Linked DNA regions of Canis lupus familiaris. The protein of the gene in region 1 purifies or fractionates together with the protein of each later gene. This does not show direct contact. Links are inferred from orthologs where the notes say so. Each region holds a gene or a part of one and is shown in the gene's direction. Other genes may lie near its edges.

Evidence for each region.
Region 2: the proteins of ECT2 (region 1) and KIF23 purify together in Homo sapiens (co-immunoprecipitation; 3 studies listed by BioGRID and IntAct, with this or other methods). This does not show direct contact. The link is inferred for Canis lupus familiaris from reciprocal best matches to the Homo sapiens genes ECT2 and KIF23.

The regions. Positions count from the first base shown.
Region 1 is NC_049255.1:37,147,397-37,158,990, forward strand, and holds part of ECT2 (protein ECT2), read left to right. Parts: intron 1-1,567; 5' UTR 1,568-1,589; coding exon 1,590-1,719; intron 1,720-3,193; coding exon 3,194-3,273; intron 3,274-3,376; coding exon 3,377-3,469; intron 3,470-5,406; coding exon 5,407-5,589; intron 5,590-6,896; coding exon 6,897-6,986; intron 6,987-7,720; coding exon 7,721-7,828; intron 7,829-8,783; coding exon 8,784-8,857; intron 8,858-9,551; coding exon 9,552-9,682; intron 9,683-9,820; coding exon 9,821-9,936; intron 9,937-10,426; coding exon 10,427-10,489; intron 10,490-11,594. UniProt on the Homo sapiens protein: Guanine nucleotide exchange factor (GEF) that catalyzes the exchange of GDP for GTP. Promotes guanine nucleotide exchange on the Rho family members of small GTPases, like RHOA, RHOC, RAC1 and CDC42.
Region 2 is NC_049251.1:33,738,877-33,751,007, forward strand, and holds the start of KIF23 (kinesin-like protein KIF23), read left to right. Parts: upstream 1-6,019; 5' UTR 6,020-6,061; coding exon 6,062-6,072; intron 6,073-8,003; coding exon 8,004-8,073; intron 8,074-9,153; coding exon 9,154-9,282; intron 9,283-12,131.

The DNA.
Region 1 (11,594 bases):
GATCGAGTCCCACGTTGGGCTCCCGGGGCGTGGAGCCTGCTTCTCCCTCTGCCTGTGTCTCTGTCTCTCTCTCTCTCTCTCTCTCTTTCTTTCTATCATAAATAAATAAATAAATGAATCTTTTAAAAAGCTTACAATGTGAGTCAAAACGATCAGTGTTATTTCCAGCCGTAATCTGAAGCGCTGGATGTCATCCACTGCCCCACAACTCTTTTTTTTTTTTTTTTTTCCGAAATTTGAAACTATTTCAGCAGTAAATTGATCACATGCGGTATTTATCAGAGACGATTTTAATTTTTGATTACCTATTTTGATGCCCTTTAAACAGGCATAGGAGAAAAAAATGTGAACTCATATGACGTTTTTGATTATTAAAATCTCCCTCCTTCGTTGCTTAAAGTACATTAGTTCATCTCTCGACTTGTTTTAAGGTTAGGGAAACCTTGAACGAGAGCCTTTGTAGAGTTTTTCTTTTTCATGGAAACCGTTAAGTGTAGGAGACTTAACAAAAAGGGGCTGGATGGGGATCCCTGGGTGCCTCGGTGGTTGAGCGTCTGCCCTCGGTCCAGGGTGTGACTCCGGGGGTCCTGGGATCGAGTCCCGCATTGGGCTTCCAGCATGGAGCCTGCTTCTCCCTCTGCCTGGGTCTCTGCCTCTCTCTGCACCTCTCATGAATAAATAAATCTTTTTTTTTTTTTTTAAAGGAGGGCTGGATGGAATTTGTCATTGATTCTAAATAGAGGCTGTTAGTAACAACTATCAGAGCATCCCTTTGGAGAGGCTTAGAGTGATGATTGATGGGGAAGTACATAGTAAGACCAAAAGAGTCCACACTTTGAATTTTATGGAAGTTTTCAATTGTCACTCACTTTAAGATGTCCTCTATTCAGTTTTCATCACAACTGGATTTGGGTTGTGCCTTTCATTATCTTTTTCTTGTGGAGAGTGACGTGAAGAAACTGATGAGAGAATGGTTTGGAGCCACAGCATTTGACCAAGTGGCCATTGAGCATAGAGAAGGGGGGCCAGGTCTCTGCTCTTTTTTTCCTAAAATTTGAAGCTGCTTTGGCAGTGAACTAATAATCAAAGATGCTTCCTCTGAGGTCCCAGAGTACTTGAGGTAGGACTGAGGAATTTGGGGGAGGGCAAATGAAGTAAAGAGTAAGGGGAGATCTATGTTTTGACAGGGCTTATCTGAAGGATGATGGTAGTATTATAAATGGAGATGGGAAGAAGAGTAGATTGGCTGAAGGCAAAGGTGGGGAGGAGGGAGATAGAATATTTACGACTACTTTCTGAATTTTCATTGTATGTCAGGTAATGTTCTGAGTACTTGTCATGCATTGTTATTTTTACTGTATTCCTGTAAGTCAGGTAGTAGTATCTTTATTTTACAGAAGGGGAAACTGAGGCTCGGAAGTTGAATGACTTTTTTTTTGGTTCAATGTTAAGGAAGATGAATGATGATACTTTTTTTTTAATGAATTCTAGACATAAAAGTAGAGCCTCTAATGCTTGTTTTTGCCCAATGATCATGCATTTTTTATTCACACTTTATGTTTTTCAGCCAATATAGAAGAGTACTAACAATGGCTGACAATAGCCTATTAACATCCACTACTGGAAGGACGAGCTTGGCAGACTCCTCTATTTTTGATTGTAAAGTCACTGAAATTTCTAAGGAAAATGTGTTTATTGGATCTGCTTCATATGTTGAAGGTAAGCCTGTTAATCAGCTTTAAAGCACCAAATCACAGGCAGCCCGGGTGGCTCAGCAGTTTAGCCACCGCCTTCAGCCCCGGGCCTGATCCTGGAGACCCGGGATCCAGTCCCTCATCGGGCTCCCTGCATGGAGCCTGCTTCTCCCTCTGCCTGTGTCTCTGCCTCTCTCTCTCTCTCTGTGTCTCTCATGGATAAACAAATGAAATCTTAAAACAAAACAAAACACCAAATCACTATTTTAATCCTAAATTTTCTGATTTGGAGTTTAGGATTTCACTGTAATACTGTTAAGCAGACTACAGTTATTCAGTAAATATTTGTTGACAGAATCTCTTTATACTTTGTAGATTTTTTTAAGCTTTTATTTAAATTCCAGTGAACATGCAGTGTGAAACTAGTTTCAGGTGTACAATGTAATGATTCAACACTTCCAGATCTCCTGTCCTCATAACCCATCTAGCCCCCTCCCCTGCCCTGGGATAACCATCAGTTTGTTCTCTATAATTTCTGTTTCTTGCTTTGTCTCTCATATTTTTCACTTTGCTGGTTTTGTTTCTTAAATCTCACATGAGTGAAGTTCTGTGGTATTTGTCTCTCTCTGACTTATTTCACTTAGCATTACACTTTCTAGCACCATCTATGTTGTTGGAAATGGCAAGATTTCCTTTTTTGTGACTAATATTCCATTATATATACACCACATCTTTATCCATTCACCAACTGATGGCGGATGCTTGGCTTCCATAATTTGACTATTGTAAATAATGCTGCTATAAACATAGGGGAGCCTGTATCCCTTTGAATTAATGTTCTTGTATTCTTTGGGTAAATATCCAGTAGTGTGATTGCTGGGTCATAAGGTAACTTTTTGAGGAACCTCCATCCTGTTCTCCAGGGTGGCCACACCAGTTTGCATTCCCACCAACAGTGCACAAGAGCTACTTTTTCTCCCCATCCTTGCCAACACCTGTTGTTTCTTGTGTTTTTGACTTTAGCCATTTATACTATGTAGATTTTTGATTACTATTTGGATCAATGCTTTCCACCTTGGAAGGAGAAAGCATCTTATTGTTGAATATTGCTTCTTCCTTGTATGAGGGCAGTCTAGCTGCAACACTGTTAGAATTTATTCAATTATGACTGGTTAGGTGAAGAGCCACTTCTTCCCTTAACTGCTTTATAAATGGGTCTCCTGAAGTTGCATGCGCTTGAAGAGGATAGCTGTGCAAGAGAGTAAATTTTTTTTTTTGATAAGAGGAGTGCTGATGTTTGTATACTCTGCTGCAATTTGTTTTCTCTTTCTCTAAAGTGATTTTAAAAAATAAACAGAATTAAGTCGTTTTAATTTTAGAGAATATTATGATCTCAAAGATGGAAATACATGCCAGATTTAGCCAAAAGAGGGATTAAGAACTGTTAATTTTGATGTTAGTACCTGATAAACATATTTAAATATTTTTATTTTTAATAGAAGAAATGCCTCAAATCGAAACCAGAATGATATTGGTTCAAGACGCTGGAAAACAAGAAGAACTTATAAAAGCTTTAAAGGTATGGAATTTTAGTTTTTTAAGGGAAAGACTATTTTTCTTCCATCAATATTTAAGTAATTTTATAGTTTTCTTTATCTTATACTTAAGTCTCTTTTCCACAGACCATTAAAATAATGGAAGTCCCTGTTATAAAGATAAGAGAAAGTTGTCCTGGAAAGTCGGATGAAAAATTAATAAAAAGTATTGTTAATATGGTAGGTCAAGCATTTCATTGCATGTGGCATGCTGCACTACTCTTGATTATATTCTTAAATTCCACTTAATGGTAATGGACCTAAATTAGGCACAAGGTATATTTTGCACTCTGAAGCTAGATGAATAGAATCATTTATATTTATTTTAAAAATATGAGTATTTCTGAAACCTCAAACTATAGTATATATTGTATGAATTCTTTACACAGTAACTTGGCATTGTTAAATTTAAATGGCACACATATTCACAAATATATGGTGTTTTTCTTACCTTAACTCTTAGCATTTTTTTCCCCATTAATTTTATGTTTATTCCAAATTCTTGCTCTATTTCCAAAATTATAAATTGCTGGGGCACCTGGGTGGCTCAGTTAAGTGTTCAACTCTTGTTTTTGGCTTGGGTCATAGTCTTGAGGTGGTGGGATAGAGCCCCATGTTGGGCTGCAGGCTTTGTGTGGAGTTTGCTTGAGATTCTCTCCCTCTCCCCCGGCTCTTCCTCTTGCTCATGCACATGTGCTCTTTCTCTCTTTCAAATAAAATAAATAAAATCTTAAAAAAATATATATAAATCACAATAACTTGAGAGTCATCAGGGAATTCGTTTCTGCATATGAAATATATTCTGTATACCAGCTGTAGTAGTTTGTGAGAGCTGCTGTAATAAAATACTGAGACTGGGTGGCTTAAACAACAGAAATGTATTTTTCAAAGTTCGGGAAGCTAGAAGTCCCAAGATCAAGATGTTGAAAGGTTTGGTTTCTCTTGAGGCCTCTCTCCTTGGCTTGCAGATGGTTGCCACCTTTCTATGACTTCACATGGCCCTTTTGGGCATGCACATCCCTGATAACTCTGTGTCCTTGACTTTCTTCTTTCTATAAGTACAGCAATTTGATCAGATTAGGGCCCACCTACATGACCTCATTGAACAAAATTACCTCTTAAAGGGCCCTGTTTTCAAGTATAGTCTGATTTTGAGGTACAGGGGCGGGGGTTAGGGCTTCAGTGTGAATTTCAAGGACATACAATTCAGCTCATCACATCAGCCTAGCAAATAAAGCCCAAAACAATTTACTGACCAATTCAGAATTTTCTTTTAAAATAGTTCCGTTCCTTTTGAACAGGAGTCATACAGGTACCTTAATATCTTTATTTTTTATCTTAGATGTACATTATAAAATATTAAACATAAAGCCTTTTTATATCCTACATTTTGTCACACAGCAACTGCCTGCTTATTTCATATCTCTTATTTCCCTCATATATACTGAAATGGTTAAGTTAACCTATACCCTTTTTGTAGATACTAAGTGGCATAGTATTTTTTCTATTTCTATTAATCATTCTGAAGATGATTTATGAACAAAGAACTGTTAAGTATGGCATCATTTTCTTAGAATAAAAAGTAATAGTGGAGGGATGCCTGGCTAGCCCAGTGTTTGAGCCTCTGCCTTTGGCTCAGGGCGTGACCCCAGAGTCCTGGGGTCCGGTACTTCATTGGGCTCCCTGCAGGGAGCCTCCTTCTCCCTCTGCCTGTGTCTCTGCCCCTCTCTCTGTGTGTCTTGTGAATAAATAAATCTTTAAAAAAAATAATACTGGATATCTTTCTAATGCATCCTACTATCAAAATATGTACATATAAAAATCATTTAAATTTTATATGTGTATTAGATTTATAATGACTTAAGTCATGTTAAAAATTTATAATATTAATATTCAGAATTTAATATCAATATGGATGGATATATGTATCTATAAAAATACAAATAAGTAAATAAGGCTGTTTGCTATTAAGTATAATGCTCATTGTGTGATTTACAAGTTTACTACACCTCTAAAAATAAAAATATTGATAGTGAATTGATTTTAGGTTTAGAGTTATATAAATTAATTTTGTAATTATAAATTTTTATTTCTCATACCACCTGAAAAAAATCAAGGAAATTAAAGTGCCCTTTGTAAAGATGGAATCACTAGAAGAATTTGAAGGCTTGGATTCTCCAGAATTTGAAAATGTGTTCATAGTCACGGACTTCCAGGATTCTGTTTTTAATGAGTTACACAAGATGGATCATAGAATTGTTGGACCACCAGTTATCTTAAACTGTGCCCAAAAAGGAGAGGTAAGAAAATATACATTTATTATGACTTTCAAGGTTAAATTTTTATTAATGAATTTTGTGAAAATTCTTTACCAGAAAAATCCTGTTAATTGTTAGGAGTATGTAATAGTTAGAATAAGGTTAGTAATTGTTATTCTAAGATAGTTTTTAAAATCTTTCTATTGTAACTCATAGGACTAAAAATCTTAAGACGTTTAATAATGACAATCATATATTTGTGTGTATATATGCACATATATGTCTTAATACCTTCTGGGGGAGAGAATTTCTTAAAACTTGGGTTCCAGCAATGTATACACGTATATAAACTTATTTTCTTCCATAGAATGTATATACATTTCCATTTTTATTTGTTACTTCATGGTTTAAACATATTTTTTAACCATTCTTTTTCCATTATGTATATATCTCCCTTGGTTAAATTATTACTGTTTCCATTTTTATAGCTCAAAAATTGGAATCATATTTGGTTCAAGTATATGTGTAATTTACATAGTGTTCATTATAAAATATTTCAAACTGTTGTAACTTTAATTTGGAAACATTTACAATACTGTATAGAGTCTGAAATTTTCCTAGTAGGTAAAACTTTGTGTCAAAGTATATTTTAGAACTGAAAGTTTGTGTATAAATATGTTTAAATTGCCAGTAGTAAGGTGTGTTTAGATTATGTGTGCCAAATATCAATTGGGAATTATGAGGGGTTTTTGTATTGTAAACTTTGTAATATGTTTTTTGCTATTTTTTTAAGCTTTTTTTTTTATTGGTATTCACTTCAGAAACTTGAATCCACAGATATAAGCAGTATATTACCAGAAAGTTACAAGTAAACACAGATTATACATGCAAATTTCTGTTCACAAAGGTCACATGTGCACTGTATTCTAGTAGTCAATGTATTTTCAGTGAAATGTAAAAATATTCCCGTTCTCTTTGAGCAGTATTAATTTCTTGAGATCTTATTGCTTGTCACTTGAATCCTGTAGCTGTCATACATCTGGTATAAGCAACATTTGATTTTTGAATTGTGTAGACCATCTCTTCATATTTCAAGATGTAATTTTACATTTCTGCATTTTAAAAAGTTTGGCCATAACCTAGACACACGCTTCTAATTCATATACCTGCACATGTGATCTTTGTGAACAGAAATTTGCATGTATAATCTGTGTTGTATCTTGAAAAACACAAGAAATCTTGGATTAACAAAGTTGATTGGCAAGAGGGGGAAGTACGTCTTAGCTTGAGAAATATGTGTTCTATTCTCTAAAGAAAGCTCACAGATTTAAAATTGTTATATCCTTCAGCCTTTGCCTTTTTCATGTCGCCCACTCTATTGTACGAGCATGATGAATCTAGTACTATGCTTTACTGGATTTAGAAAAAAAGAAGAACTAGTAAGTATTTTAAAACCTTCTATTCAAGGAATAATTTTTTTCCAGCCAAATAAATTTAAATTGATATTTTGTTTGGTTAATTATATCATGGTTTTATTTAAAACATATTGAAGGAGAATTTATGAATGTGCTATTTTAAATTTTATGAAGAAACATTCTGAAGAGCATTTTAAAGAAACATTTAGTTTAGGATGGCAGGCATATGAATTAATAGAAAGACCTTATTACTATCTGATCTGCTTAAATTGTCTTTGTGCTAAGTACCACTGAGCATATTATTTGAAGTTTTTGTTAACACATTACAATTTTTGGTTATACAAGTCCAGCCTTAATGTATATTCATTGCCCTAGAGAATTCATAGAAACTTATTTGATTCATAAAATTTTTTGTGTTGGAGCTATTAGGGTATTACTGTAATTTGTGGGAAGAATCTAGGTGTGATATAACCTAGTGTTAAAAAACAATCTTTTTGGATGTATGAAAGCCAGTTTAATTTCATTAAGTTTTGTGCAGTCATCTCTACTACCTTATCTCTATGTATAATTTTGCCTGTGCCAATAAGGCAAATGAATCTTTAATTTTTTTTTGACATAAAATTCATATCTTAATAAAAATTATTGTATGTACCTTATAAATAAAAATTATTCAGTAGATGCTAAATGACTTCTAAACATAATTTAAAATTTTGTTCAAGTTAATTATAAAGTTAATGTTGCCTAATTTTTCTTTTGAGGTCAGATTGGTGACATTGGTTCATCACATGGGTGGAGTTATTCGAAAAGACTTTAATTCAAAAGTTACACATTTGGTGGCAAATTGTACACAAGGAGAAAAATTCAGGGTATGTAAATTTGAGTATTTCACTATAGCATTTTTTGGGGGGGGGATAGATTTAATAACAGCACTTTCATACTATTTCTCTCAGAGTTTACTGAGAATCAGAAATTCAATTTTTGCTAAGTACATTTAGTAAAAATTTTAAATCCTAGGAGTGTGGTCTTTTAGGTTTTAAGGAAGCAATGAAACCTGAGTTAGGTCTTGAAATAAGTAGGATTTGCGAATGAGTAGGATTGTGGAGGTTGGTAGATGGGTAACGTTTCAGGCAGATAATTAATATCAGCAAAGGTTACTATTAAGTGTTGGTGAATAAGGGGATTGGGAAGTGTGCAGTTATTTCACTCTTGCCTAAATGGTCTTAAGAACTGAGCTATCTTCTTATAAAATGGCTCTAAGGTTTAACTAGTGAGAACTATGAAAGAGCAGGAAAAACTACTTTTATTAGAATTAAAATCTTAGTTTAAGATTGCTCTTGAATATCGTAGGAAGAGCTTATCACCTTGTTCCCACCCTCCATCAGAGTATTTATGTAAAAAATGGTAATTTGGGGGAATGTTGAATTCCTGAGAGGTATACTTTTCAATTCATATCTTAGTTTCTTGTGACTTAATCAGGTATTTTGTTCTGTATTCCTATCTTGGGGGTCAGTACTTCTAAAGGAGTAAACACGGAGAAAAGAGAAATAGAAGTATAGTAAAATAAAGATGAACTTTTAACTTCAGAGTTGTATTTATTTAAAATAAGGAAATGATTTGGATATCATGGAACTTGTTCTAAATTATTTTAACCTAACTTGTATGATTGAAAGACAGTTTTTCTGTTAATGTTTCTTTATTTTGTCATAAAGCAGATGAATAATGATTTAAAACTTCAAAAAATATGTATAAAATTGTTTAGAAATTCCATGAATGCAGTTATTTAAGGTGCAAATTTATTGTGATTAACTTTTATGTTTTTAGATTGCTGTGAGCCTGGGCACTCCAATTATGAAGTCAGAGTGGATTTACAAAGCCTGGGAAAGGCGGAATGAACAGTAAGTGTTTAGAAAATCAGTAGTTCATGATTTGAATTAAATGTTATGAAGGTAAACTCATGTGCCCAAAACCCTAAATTCATAAAGAGTATAGACAGAATGAATTCAGTCTTTGGGTAGCCTAATGAATAAAGTCTAGGAGGAACAAAGTTATAAAAACATAAAAAATTGAAAGACATATGTGGTTATCTTCAGACTTTACCTTGTGGGATAATTTTGATTATCATTAACATTCTAAAACTCTTAGGTAATAGCTTAATGAATCTGGATATATGGGTTGTGTTATATTTTTTTCACTCTGTTTGGTTACATTCTAAGTGGTGATTGCAACTCAATACCTTGTTAAGCTTTCCAACCTCATAATTCGTTGCTATTCTGCTGCATCATTACTTAATATTTCATAAAGCTGTAGAACCCCTGGAATAGATAGAAAATTTCACGTCCAGAGCAAGGATTTGAATCTTTTAAAGACTACTTGTGATCAAATTTTATCAGAATTTACTCCCGGATGACTGAGGACACATCCAATTTTTTTTTTTTAACTGATGTTTTTATGAACATTTCAGGACCACACGTAAAATATTTTCAATAAATAGATTATACTAAAACTTACAGAATTATTATAGATGTATAAATTGATATACTTTCTGAATTTAAGTTAAGCTGGTTTTAGAAGAGTATATTTTATTTTTAGGGATTTCTCTGCATCAGTTGATGACTTTAAAAATGAATTTAAAGTACCTCCATTTCAAGATTGCATTTTAAGTTTCTTGGGATTTTCAGATGAAGAAAAAACGAATATGGAGGAAATGACTAAAATGCAAGGTAGAATTTACTATAATTTAAAAAGTTCATATTTTTTTTCCCCACTCTTGGTTAATTACCTCCTGGTGAATCTACCTCTTTAAAAATTCAGGTTTGGAGATAAATAGTTTGACTTATGCTTGTGTGCATTTCTTTTAGGAGGTAACTGTTTACCTGTTGGAGATGAAAGATGCACTCACCTTGTAGTTGAAGAGAATATAGTAAAAGAACTTCCATTTGAACCTTCAAAGAAACTTTATGTTGTCAAACAGGAGGCAAGTAATTCTAGAATAAGATTGGCTTTTGTTTTAGAGTTTTATTTTTATTTTATTTTTTTATTTTAAGTAGGCTTCACACTCAGTGTGGGGCTTGAACTCACTATACCAAAATTAAGCATTTCATGCTGAGTTTCAACTCAAAATCATGAGTTTCACTCATGACTGACTGAGTCAGCTAGGAGCCCCAAGATTGGGTTTTTAAAAATATTACTAATGGCTTCTCTGATAAGATAGATTCTTTTTTTTTTTGAGATTTTATTTATTTATTTGAGAGAGAGAAAGAAAGAAAGAGAGAGAGAGAGCATGAGCAGGGGAGAGGCAGAGGGAGAAGCAGACTCCCCACTGAGCAGGAAGCCTGACATGGGGCTCGATCCCAGGACCCTGAGATCATGACCTGAGCCGAAGGCAGATGCTTAACCAGCTGAGCCACACAGGTGCCCCTGATAAGATAAATTCTTAATTAAAAAGTTTTTCTTCTCTCACCTAGTGGTTCTGGGGAAGCATTCAAATGGATGCTCGAGCTGGAGAAACTATGTATTTATATGAAAAGGTATGTATTTTTGTCCCTTAGTCATTCTGTGATTTTGATTGTATAAAGATAACACTTCTATCTGAAAAGAATATTATATAATTGGCATGTCTAAGAGTTTGTGAATAATTGAACAATTAGATATTGAAGAAGTTTGTGTAGATTTAAGCAAAACTCTATTCAGTGCAGTAGAATTATTTTAATCTACCATATGTCATTTTGTGCTACTACTTAGTGATACCATTATGAACAATAACATTCCTATCTTTAGAAACTTAGAACCTTAAGGGAAAGATAGATATACAAACAGTTACAGTGCTGAATATGTGCTATAGTTGAGTTATTATTTTAACTAACCTCACTCTGAGAGACTCAGGCAGGACTGAAAAGAGCAAACACATGTTGAACCAACTGATTAGGCTAATCTTGCAAGGACATTCAAGTTAGACAGCAGGTGGGAGATGATGTGAAGATTGAAAGTACCTTGAAATAGCAAGTGGTTCAGTATGGGTCTTGAAAGGAGTGTGGGAAAGAAGTCCAACAAATAAAGCTTACAATTTAGGTAGAATCCAGTAGTTTTTAAAATGTTAAGGAATTTGGGTAGTATTGGGAACCATTGAAGTATATTAAGGAGAGAGATGTCATTGGAAAAATAACTCTAGTAGTAGATTGTAGGCAAGGAAGGATGCACCTGTCACGCTAGATTGGGGAAGAGTGTATCATTTACAAAAATGTGGCATAAAGGTATAGAAGTAGGCTTTAAGGGAAGATTTTCTTTAGTGGGAGATTTAATTTGAACGAAATATTGAAGATTGAGGTACAGATTTATTGTATTACTATGAAATCTAGATAGGTTCTATATTGTCTTCTGACTCTTGTTCTCAGTGTAGAATTCTTGACCATAAAGTTTAAAAACTGCTTTAAATTCTAGCAGAGAGCTTTTAAAGTCAAGTATTACTTGGCAAATACTGGAGAGCAATCTGTCCAGGCACTGTGCTAAATGCTAAGGATACAGTGAACGAACTGTGAATGGTCCCTGCTCTCCAGAGTTAATGGCCTAACGGGACTAGACAGTAAAGAAGCTTACAGATGAATATGTAATGGTGATAGAGCTGAGAAGAAACAG
Region 2 (12,131 bases), on another chromosome or scaffold:
AGGCTTTAGAAACCACCTGAGTACAAAGTGATCTAAATAGCTGGTCTGCAGCAGTCTTTCTTGGAGTGCTTGATGTGGAACCCAGCTTACCTGAGAGGTAAGGTGAGGTGGAGGAGACCGGTGTGGTCACAAGTGTTGGCGAGACGCTTCATTTGGCTCTGTTGTGTCCCAGATGTGTTTTGGCCACGGCTCTATATGAAACACCTGTTAACCCAGTATGACAGCACTTTATAACATACTAGTTGATAATGCCAGTCTCTGATTTTCTAGCCAACAATCCATCATGGACGAAAAAGCAAAGACCCATTTCCAAACTCAGATGTTCTTCCAATCTAACTAATGTCTAGTTTTCTTAAACTGTGTGGGAGAAAAAAAAATAAAATTTATTATAATAAAGGCCTGTTTCCCACTTGATTTGGTCATGTTTCCCCCTATCACACTGCAGACATGTTCATTATCATAAGAAATAGATTCCTGTACACGAGTGTGTTGCTAAATCATTCTGTGAATATTTATTTTGTACCCGATATGTATAGAATGAACACCGTTTTAGGAACTGGGGATAAGAGAAGTGAGGAAAACCCACCCTGTCCTCCTGCGTGGAGCCAATGTGCTGATTGTCAGTAGGAAAAGACAGATCAATTCAGATAGTAGTGAGTCCTATAAAGGAAACAGGCCTAGTGGAGAAATGGAAATGGGAAGGACACGGCAGGTGAGATTGGACAGCCACTCTGAGAAGCTGACATTTGAGGAGAGCCTTGATAGGCAAAAAAGGGCCTGCTTGGCGAGCATGTTGCTGGGCAGGTGTTTCAGGTTGAGGTGGCATATGTGCAAAGGCCCCATGACCAGTAGGCAGTTGTCCTGTTGGAAGGATGGAAATCAAGCCACTAATTCCTGAAATGTATATAACTCTAGAAAATGTATGGATCACTTGACTTTTGAGAATTCTGGAATTTCTCCCGAGAGTGCTTTCTGGGAGATTGTGCAGGGGCTGTCTTTCCTCTGACCTCGTGGTACTTGTATGGGTACATGTAATATATGTATTTCAGACAAAGAGAGAATTGCCACAGCCCTTATCTTCACTCGGGGCAACAGATTTCTAAAATTGGCTTAATTCTTGCCTCCTTCAGAGCATGGAACAAGGAATTTAATCCAGCCTTTCAAAAATGTGTTTGATGATGCAAAATGTACATTGTCAGACCCAAATGGACAGATGCGGCATACCTTGGGAGGAGAAGGTCCTGGAGTTTTAAATTTTCATCAAAAGTCCCAAGTGATTTTTAATGGAGTTTAAGAAACATGAGTCTAGTCCAACCATTTTTTTTTTTCATATTTGGGAAAATGTTGCTAAATAGTATGAAGTATTCCCAGGTACTGGGGTGTCTGGCTGGAGCACTTTTCATCCTTCCCCCTTTTGATGTTTACATAACTCTTCTCCAGCAGTGAGAAAGGTGGCTCCCATTATCCACAATGTATTATTCGCTCAATCTTAGAATGTACAGAATGTCATTTCAGAATTACCAACCCATGTCTGCAAAAAGGCTTACTAATTAGAATTCAATAAATGTTTCAAGTTCTTTTTGTCTTGAGCCTTGAGGGCATATGGTCTCAATAGTCTAAATTACTTGGGTTAGTTATGGCCCTTTTATGTGGGTTATTCATTTGAAATATGGTTCAGAGCATTTGTTTCTTTTTGTATCAATTTTACAGCCTCTCCCCCCCCTTCCCAAGCTTGCTATTTTATTGTTTTTTGAGTATGTAAAACATTAACATACAGTCATTCATTTTCAAATGGCCTGGGGAGGGTCACATGGCCTGTAGATGTGAGACAGTGCTACCACTGCCAGCAAGTGAACAGCAGGGCCAGGGACAGAGCTCCCAGAGTGGTGAGTGTTGAGTGTGTTTGAAGTGCCACAGGCATCCTGTCTTCATTTTACCACCTTCCCTCAAATGCTCTGGGCTTTGGCAGCTTTCTGGTCACTCGTGGTTATGAGTCCCACAGCTGGACTTGCATAGCTGAGTGTTCTGAGTTAATTATGGTTTGCATCCCCTGATGTGTCAGCCTCTCCCCTGTGATTTGCATAGGACCCTCCCAGTCCAGTTTGGCAGTTTCTTATAAAGTCAAATTCATACTTATAATAAAGACCAGCAATCCCACCCAAGAGAAATGAAAATCCCTATCCACTTAAAGACCTTTATGCAAAGAATTATAATTGGGGTACCTGGGTGGTTCAGTGGTTGAGCTCTGCCTTTGGCTCAGGTAGTGATCCCAGGGTCCTGGGATCCAGTCCTGCATCTCCCTCTGCCTATGTCTCTGCCTCTCTCTGTGTCTCCCATGAATAAATAAATAAAATCTTTTTTAAAAAGTATACCATAATTGCCAAAAGGTGGAAACAACTTAAATGTCCATCAGCTAGTGTGGATAAACTGTCATGCATTATACAAAGGATTACCACTCAGCAGTAAGAAGGGACCATGTTACTGATATGTGCAACACACACTTAAATATCAAAAGTATCTTGCTCAGTGAAAGAAGAGACCTTCTGGAAAAGTTAAAACTCTAAGGAAGTCAGAAAAGTGGTTGCCACAGGCTGGGGGTAGAGGAAAGTGATAGACCCCAAAGGGGCAGCACAGAGAAAGCTTTGGAGTGGTGGGAGGATTATACATCCTATAGTGGCAGTGGTTACAGGCCGCTGTGTTTGTCGAATACTAACACGGTACAACCGAAAAGGGTGGATTTTACTGGACATAAATTATACCTCCATAGCCTGACTTTAATAGAAGCCTCTCAGTTATACTACCTTCCTGTCTCCTACCATTATCCGTGGTCTGGATATCTAATTCTAGGGGAAAGTGCAAATCTTTTTTTTTTTTTTTTTTAAGATTTTATTTATTCATGAGAGACACACACACACACACAGAGAGAGAGAGATTGGGGCAGAGACACACAGGCAGAGGGAGAAGCAGGCTCCATGCAGGGAGCCTGATGTGGGACTCGATCGATCCCGGGACTCCAGGATCAGGCCCTGGGCCAAAGGCAGGCACCAAACTGCTGAGCCACCCAGGGATCCCTGAAAGTGCAAATCTTTTACTGGCTTTGGGGAACCCTTTGGGGGAAGAGATAATGTGTTAGGTATGAAATGCCTGTTTCTTTTCTTTTCCCTTTTTTATTTTATTTTTTATTATTACTATTTTTTAATTTTATTTTTTAAGAGAATATGCCAGAGGGGCGCCTAGCTGCCTCAGTCAGTCTTTGCTTCAGGTCATGATCCTGGGGTCTTGAGATGGAGCCCCACATCAGGGTCCTTGCTTGGCAGGGGAGCCTGCTTCTCCCTCTCCCTCTGCCTGCCGCTCCCCCTGCTTGCACGTGCTCTCTCGCTCTCAAATAAATAAAAATAAAAATAAAATAAAGAGAATAAGCCAGAGAGCTTTAGTATGATTAGAAGCGAGGAAGAAAAAACTGGCCAGAAGAGCTGGGGGCTCCATGTAACTGGATCCTCAGCTGGATTGGATGCATCGATTCCTTCCAAACAAGAGCCTCCGTTGCTGGGTGCCAGGGTGCAACAGCACCACCTAGTGAGGCTGTGGAGATGAGCTGGTAGCGGGCACAGAAAGGAACAGTGGTGACCAATCTGAACAAAGCAACAGGTGCTGGGAAGGTGCAGGGGACCGGGGTGGATGGGGGGTGGGGTGGGGAGGGTGGTATAGAGTAGGGGCCCAGCATCCAGTGCCAGGTCATTGACAGATCTGCTGAGAACTGAGAGTAAGGAGGCATTGTCAGAGGAAGGCAGGGAGGAGAGCTTGCCAGCAGAGGGACTGCTCCATGAGCCTGGGGCACGGAGAGGTAATGTGGTTGGAGGGGTGCTGGGGGCCATGACAAGTGATGGGCTTGGAGAGGAAGAGCCTCAGAGCCCTGTGGAGGGCGTCTAGCCATGGGGAGCTACTGCAGTGTTAGAAGCAGGGGAGTGACATGACCAGATCTGTGGTTTATGAGTAGGTTCGGAGGGTAGCAGCAGGGAAGCCTGTTGGATTCCTATTGCAGTCATCCATACTGCAAGATGCTGAGTAGCCAAGGGGATGGAGAGAAATGGATTGAGAGGTTTGAAGGCTATTTAATAGGTAGAACTTTCAAGATGTGGTGAGTGGATGGTTGGAAAAGAAAGAGAGGCAAAAGTCCAAGATGGTACCTGGGACCCTAGGCTTGGGTGGCTTGGGTAGATGGTGATACCATCCACTGTGGGGTAGCAGGTTCAGGGGAAGCAATTAGGGTGCGGTAGGTATGAGGTGCCTGTGGGACACCCACACGGAGAATCCAGAAGGCAATTGGACATATAGGTCTGAAGTGGACAAGGACAAATTTGAATGGTATGTGAAGCGAGGAGAGTGACTGGGGGTGCCTGAGGAGAGGCCTCAGCTAGTGACCAGGTCAAAACCCTAAGCTACAACATTTAAGGGACAAAATACAAAACAACACACACACACACAACCCCCCCCCCCGCAAAAAAAAAAAAAAAAAAAAAAAAAAAACCTCACAAATGAGTTCTGAGAAAGAGGGGCTTAGGGAGCTTAGGAGGAAAAAAAGCTGAAGGCATAGGAAAAGAGGAATCAGTATTTTTTGTGCTGTTGAGAGGTCAAGTAAGGTAGGGTGGGGGGTGATGGTCTTGGTGAGAAGAGTTCCAAAGGAGAGACCAAGGCTACCTGCAGGGTAAAAGAGGTAAGTAGCCAGCAGCTACACCCAGTTCCTAAATAACACAAATCCCAACCTGCCATTTAACAACAAACTTCTGATGGTTCAAAGGCCTATACATAAAAAAAAAAAAACAAACGAACAAACAAACACACGCAAAAAAACCATAAAAGCATCAGGAAAGACCATCCTTGTGTGTAACAATATGGGCCAGGGATATTAAATTATGTCCATTTCACCGGTGTCCAGCGAGGAGATGGGCCTAGAGCCCCGTGAGAACACAGATGTAGACACAGATTTGAGAGCGATGGGCCAAAGTGGGGTAGAATCTGTCCATTTTAGGAAAGAGCTGCTCTGGCCATTGCTCTTCAAGGGCAAGGCCCAAACTCCATCCGTTCATCTCTGTATGTGGCCACACAAAAATTCAGCGGGGTCATTGAAAAGATCAACTTGGCTTGACTCGCGAATCGGGGGGCATCCCATCCAGCAAGCAGAGAGGTGCTCCCAGGACCCTAAGTGGAAGGGTCTTCATAGGAGGGAGGGTGGGGCCAGGGAGGGGTCAGTGACACAAGAGAAAGGACCTGGGGTGGAAGGCGGTGGTGGGGGGGGGGTCCTACTCTGGGCATCATCTCCTCTTCCTCTTCCTTTGGTGCGGGCGGGGAGAGGAGGGGTCCCCGTGACAGGTGCCCTCATGGGTGCCCTGGCTGACCCGTTCTGACCACGCTTCTGGGGGAGGGGGGGCTGGGGCTCCATCTTGGGCGTGGGGTTTCCTTTATCACAGCGCCGGGGATCAGGCATTGGATGGAACAGCGCGTGTCTGCGGAAGGGCCGGGGGCAGCGGCGAGGGAGATCCGGGGAGGGTGGAGGCACAGGGCGAGCCCGCGTGCGGGGCGGGGTGGAGGCCAGGTAGGGGGCCCGCGGTGCAGGGCTCGGCTCCCGGGCGGGAACGCTGCGGGCTGGGGGGTCCCCCGAGGCCCTGCCCTTCCAGCCGGCTTCCTGTGCCGCAGGGAAAAACCCCGCAGCCGCCCGGCGGGGAACGTGGGAGGGGGGGCGGGGTCTCAGCGCCTCCGAGGTCCGCCCCGCAGCAGCACCTCCCGCCCGCGCCCGGCGGTCGCCTAGGAGACCAGCCCCGCTTCCGGCAGAGCCGGCACGTCCTCCGAGGCCACGCCCCTTTCCTCCGAGGCCACGCCCCTTTCCCCGCGGGCGGGCGCTGATTGGCCCGTTTGAAATGCGCCGCGCGCGAGCTCACCTGGGCTCCCGGAGCGCCGCGCCTGGGCCGCCGGGTCCCGCTTCCCGCGGTCCGCCGCCCCCGCCGCCCCCGCCGCCCCCGCCGCCGCCGCCCCCGCCGCCCCGCAGAGCCCGGCGCCCGCCGCCATGAAGCCAGCGTGAGTACCGGCCGCGTCCCCTCGGTCTGCACCGGCCGCCGGCCCCGGAGGGGGAGCCCCCCGCGTGGGCGCGGCGCCCGGGCCGCGGCGGCCCCTCCCCGGGGGCTCTGTGCCGGGTGGGGCCCCGCGACGGGGGCGCCGCGGAGGTGCGGGCGCGGGGGCGGGGGCGGGGGCGCGGGGGGCCCTGGCGCCCTCCAGGTCGAGGCAGGCCGAGCCCCGGGAGCGCGCCGGGCGCCGGGCCGCGTGACAGCCCCGCCCCGCAGGCCCCGCAGGCCCGCAGGCCGCGGCCCCACCGCCCGGGAAGCAGCGCCCGCTGCGGCAGAGCAGCTGGTTATCCTAGGGGCCCGAGTAAAGACCTTCTAGCTTAAAAAAAATATATATATATACACACATATATATATATTATATATATACACACACACATATATATACACACACGTATATGTATACATGTATATATGTATATATATGGGATATGTATATATACATATATATGTGTATGTATATATATTGAGTTTATGTATAATATACATGTATATATGTATGTGTATATATATTGAGTTTATATAGAGTATATATGTATTATTTATGTATATATGTATATGTATATATGGGATATATATATGCATATATGTGTATATGTATATATATGGGATATGTATGTGTCTATATATGTGTATGTGTATATATACATACTGAGTTTATATATATTGAGTTTATGTATAATATGTATATATACACATATGTATATATGGGATATGTATGTATATATACATGTATGTGTATGTGTACATATATATTGAGTTTACATATGTATAATATATGTACATGTATGTATGTGTATATATATTGAGTTTATATAGAGTATATATATGTATTGTATATGCATATATGGGATATGTATATGCATATATATGTATATGTGTATATATAGGGGATATGTATGTATATATACATATATATGTGTATGTGTATATATATTGAGTTTATATATATCGAGCTTATGTATAATACATATATGTATATATGGGATATGTATATGCATATATATGTAAATATGTATATATGGGATATGTATATATACATATATATGTGTATGTGCATATGTATATATATATTGAGTTTAGGAGACCCACTATAATATTTTGTATTGGAAACGCTAATTGGCTTGCTTGTTTGGTCTCGAAACGTGTCGTGAAAATACTTGATTTTCTATGCAGTCTCTGCGGCGCTTAATTTTACTGTTAAATGTTCATCTGCACTATTGATTTCTTAACCGGTCGGGGCTGGCGGTGTGGAGGAAAGCCGACAGCCTGATTGATGAAGCCCCAAAATAGCTTCTGATTGTAAGAGGGCAAGAAATGGCAGTGGGAAGACCCAGTTGTGTTCGAGGACAAAGGATGATGGCTTAGAGAACTCCGATAATTTGTTCCTTGAATGTGTAGATGTACATCTTGCTGAAAGAATGGATTTCTTTTTTTTTTTTTAATCATTTCGTGAAGTTGATCACCTGTCAGCCTGCCTTAGCGATGGATGTTGGGGCAGTGTGTGCGCTGGTGTGCCTGTAGGTCTTGAGGATAAACCAGGTCTCAGTTATCTATGGATTTTTCGAATCTGTAGTGCTTCTGTAAAATTGTCGTCCAAGAAAATATGCAAGCTAGTTTAAATATAGAAAATTATCTAGTACCGAAGACGTCTCCTGAACCCAATTTGCCATACTTTTGCATTAGGTGAGCCACATACATTCTTTTTTTTTTCCCCCACAAACATTCTTCTAATGCAGCTTATTTTTAACGTTATTTGGGGTGTCATGTTTTAGAACTGCTCAGGGATAACTTTATAAACCCAAGGAAGACTGTCTCTGAATTATAGGTGAGGTTTTTGTATGTTATTTTGAACTGATTTTTTTTTTTTTTTTAACCTGTGACCAGGAGGACTAAGACGCCCAGGAAACTTCTAGTGAAGAAAGGATCCCAAACAAGTCTTAAAGACCCAGTGGGGGTAAGGTCTCCCTGTGAATTTGTGTGTGTGTGTGTGTGTGTTTTCTTCTGTCCTCTTCTGTCTTCTGTGTATGCTTGGAAGGGATGGAGCTGTGGAAGCAGAGTCAGAGAACATTAGTTAAATGGGTAAGTCTGGTCCCAGCTTTAAAGTTTTGTTTCTATATAGGATTCATTAGTAAAATGAAGTGTTTGGGTATGTCAGTTGCATAACTCCTATAACTAACTATAACTTGAAAAGTTAGATAATGAAAGATATTCTTCAGCTGTCCCGGAGAATTCTTCTACTCTCTTGGAAGGCAGGGAAATTTCTGCTTGGATGAGCATCCTCTCCCATCTTTGGGGCTTTTAAATAGTGACTGATGGTATGCTCCGTAAAGACACTGGTGTAGAACAGCTTAATTCAGTCTAGTAACTCATCATAACTGCATGTACTTCATGAGTTTCAGGCTTTGGGACTTTCTTTTAAAGACAAATGGCAAATAAAAGAAGGTTGTTTTGCCCTGGGATATTTTTCTCTCTCCTTCACTGGCACCAGAATGTGTCTCTTGTTCTAGGTGGGGGGAAACTGATGCTTTGCATTTTCAGCTGAATAGTTCTTCCTCGACCCTATCACTGATTAAGAAGATGTGTTTCAGATGATGTGCTTACTCATTTGTATATTATACTTATTTGTATATATGTTACATTTGTTGGTATATAGTGTTAAGCTGTCAAGTTTTATTTGATATCCAATATCAACAAATTCTAACAGCTTTTCAGATAATTCTCATTGTGTGATATGTTATCAATTTTAGAGATTTTTATATTAGTGGTAATATAAATTTACTCAATTTGTGCCAGTATAATAGTGATTTGATGCTTTTGTCATCCAAATTTATTTTCATTGTAAGTGTATTTAAAGCTCCTCATACCTGATAGATCTGTTTATAGCTGACAATGTCTGGTAGCAAGTTTTGGTTTTCATAGCTCTAAGTTCATATAAATCTCTTATGCTGAGAGACCAAATGTTGGATGAGTGAATGAGAAGCTTAAATGCAAAGTAGTCAACCTTCATTCTGGAAGCACATTCCTGTAATTTCAGGTGTACTGTAGGGTGCGCCCACTGAGCCTTCCTGATCAAGAGTGCTGCATAGAAGTGATCAATAATACAACCGTTCAGCTTCATACTCCTGAGGGTTACAGGCTCAACCGAAATGGAGATTATAAGGAGGTAATTCCCATTGGAACCAAGCTGTTTTTACTTGAGATGTTCTCTCCTGAAATGGCTTTTCCATTTTTTTTTTAACATTTAACACAATTCACATTTCTACTTTTTTTTGAAAAATTTGTTTACTTCCCTCTAACCTCTATATATAAAGTGTGGATAGGCTTATGTTTGGTATTCTTTGAGTTAGGGGATTGCTTATATGAGGCAGTTTCTTGTACTGGATATTTATTGTTTTTTAGAGCATAGGTTTGGGATCTTGAATGATTGTGCTAGGTCGCTATACATACAGACACACACACAATTTCATGTGCAGATTAAAATAGCAATAGGCGTTTTGTATTTGTTTTGACCTCCTTTGAAGTGTTGTTTAATAAAATCTTGAGCAAAGTGAGTTTAGTTCAGTTCAAACATTGCACTAAAGCTGCAGGGCAGAAGGAGATTTTCAAAAACGAGTAGGACACAATCCTTGCCTTTATGGGGCTTTCAGCTGAGTTGGGGGCACCAGATAGAAAGGGTAACCTTTATATAGATAAAATAAATCAGTGTGCTGAAAGAGCTGGACTATGGGAGTGCAGAAGGAAGCATGGATTCAGGCTGTTGTCTCTCTGTTGAGCTGCCTTTCACCCTCATGCACCCTGCTCCTGTGAGACTGTCAGAAGCCCACAGTGGCCTCTGGATTGCTCACATTGGATGGACACCTCTTGTCATAATCCATTTGTCAGCAGGACCATCCTTCCTGAAGCCCTCTTCCGTCTCCCCATCCAGGTCTCTATGTTCTCAGCTGTAACTGGCCACCCTCTTCAGGTTCTTCTTCCTTTTCTAACCTCTCAGTGCTGGGGTTGGCTACACCTAGGGCTCTTTTCTCTACCCTTTCCCATGGCTTTAAATGTTGCTTATAGTTCTGGAGGTTTTTTTTTTTTTTTGTTTTGTTTTTTTTTTTAAATTTTAATCTCCAGCCTAAACCTTATGTCTGCTCTAAGCTGGAACATCCACTGTTTGCATGTCATGTAAGCATCTCAAATTTTATGTGTCCACAAGAACTCTTGATTTTTTTCCCCCTCTAAATCATTTCCTCATTTCCTCTCAATAAATGGTAGTACCGTGCGTCTCCTGCTTGTATCCCATTGACCAGTACATTCTGTAAGTTCTGCTCCAATGTGAAACTGTCCTTCTGTTTCTATCTTCACAGCCCTTGTCCCTGTCTTAGCCCTGCTGTTAATCACCAAGACTAGTGCTTCTCAAATGATCTGTGGTGGAGGAACAGCTTTTTAAATTTTTCAGTGCATTGTGATTGGATACTTTTGTGCAGCTTTGCCATCTGAATTAGACCATGGAGAAGTGATTTTGTAATCTGTTCAATGAGACGAGCCTGTTGATCACATGCTGGGATGTTGCAGCCATGTCAAATGGCTAGAAAAGTTTCTAAACTTCAATTTCTTTAATTCTCTCCTCCTAGACAGGAAACAAACCAGTTCTCAGAGGGGCACTGATTTGCTGACCATACTTTGAAATATAACTGGACTGCCTGTTTCCACTCTGAATCTTATTCTCCAATCCATTTTCCACAAAGCCACCAAAGAGAGCTTTTAAAGTATAAATCTGGGCAGCCCCGGTGGCATAGCGGTTTAGCGCTGCCTGCAGCCTGGGCTGTGATCCTGGAGACCTGGGATCGAGTCCCACATCAGGCTCCCTGCATGGAGCCTGCTTCTCCCTCTGCCTGTGTCTCTGCCTCTCTCTCTCTGTCTCTGAATAAATAAAGAAATAAATCTTAATAAATAAATAAATAAAGTATAAATCTGATCTGACCCTTTTCCTGTTTAAAATTTTCAAGGCATAGTCGTTAAGTGAGCAAAATCCTGCTTAATTTGCTCTATTTCTCTACTGTCAACTCGTCCTAGTCATCCAGTCCTGAGTTCCTTGGATAAGCCCAAATCCTGTTTCAGTGCGGTCCTCTTGGCATGGACTTTTTCTTTCTTTTGGCTCTTAGCATGAATGGCTCCTCATTTGTGGATTTCAGCTTAAACATCTCCTCCTCAGAGAGAATGTCCAGACCACCTTATCAGAAGTGGCACCCTTCCCCGCTTCTGTCCCAGTCTGCCCTTTATGTGCTTCCTTGATAGCACTTAGCACATCAAGAGTTTTATTTTCTCTCTCCCCTGCTATAGTGTAAGCTTCAGGGGGATGTGTGCCTTCTCTGTCCTGTTCCCCGTTCAGTGAATATTCAGTGGACGAAGGATGAACATTCTGGGACAGCTTCATGAGGAGTGGGCCTTCAAAGATGTCAAATAACTGAGAACTGACTTGCTGTGAAGAACTTCACTTCTCTGTTAGATTAATTTCAAGTATGTAAAGTAGACAGAAAGCTTGGTGGGGATTAACAGTTCTTTCTCACTGCCTTGTGACAGGAGGCAGAGCTGCACTGGAAGTGGCTGTGACACCAGTCAGCACTGCAGGCTTGGGCAAGTGCCTCCCCTTGGGCTCAGTTTTCTTTACTGGAAAGGAGGGCTTTGTTCACAAGGACTTGGAGGTCATCTGGCTGAGCTGTCAGCACTATTTTTTGTGTATCCTTTCCATCCTAAGATTCCTTATTCTTGTGAACTCTACTGCTATTTTTACAGGATTGCAACAAAACCTTCCAAGAAATGAGAGTTAGCCTAGCTGAAGTAGGTGTGTGATCTTTAACAAGTTTTAAAATGAGCATGGTAATTAGCAGTATCTAATCACAGGTCAGAGTTAAATGATTCACTGCCAAGCTAAGGCAGTGCTTGGCACATGCTCCATGCTGAGAGTCACCTGTTGTATTGTGTATTTGAGTACTGATCTATACTTGTTTCCTTTTGGAGACTGCTAAT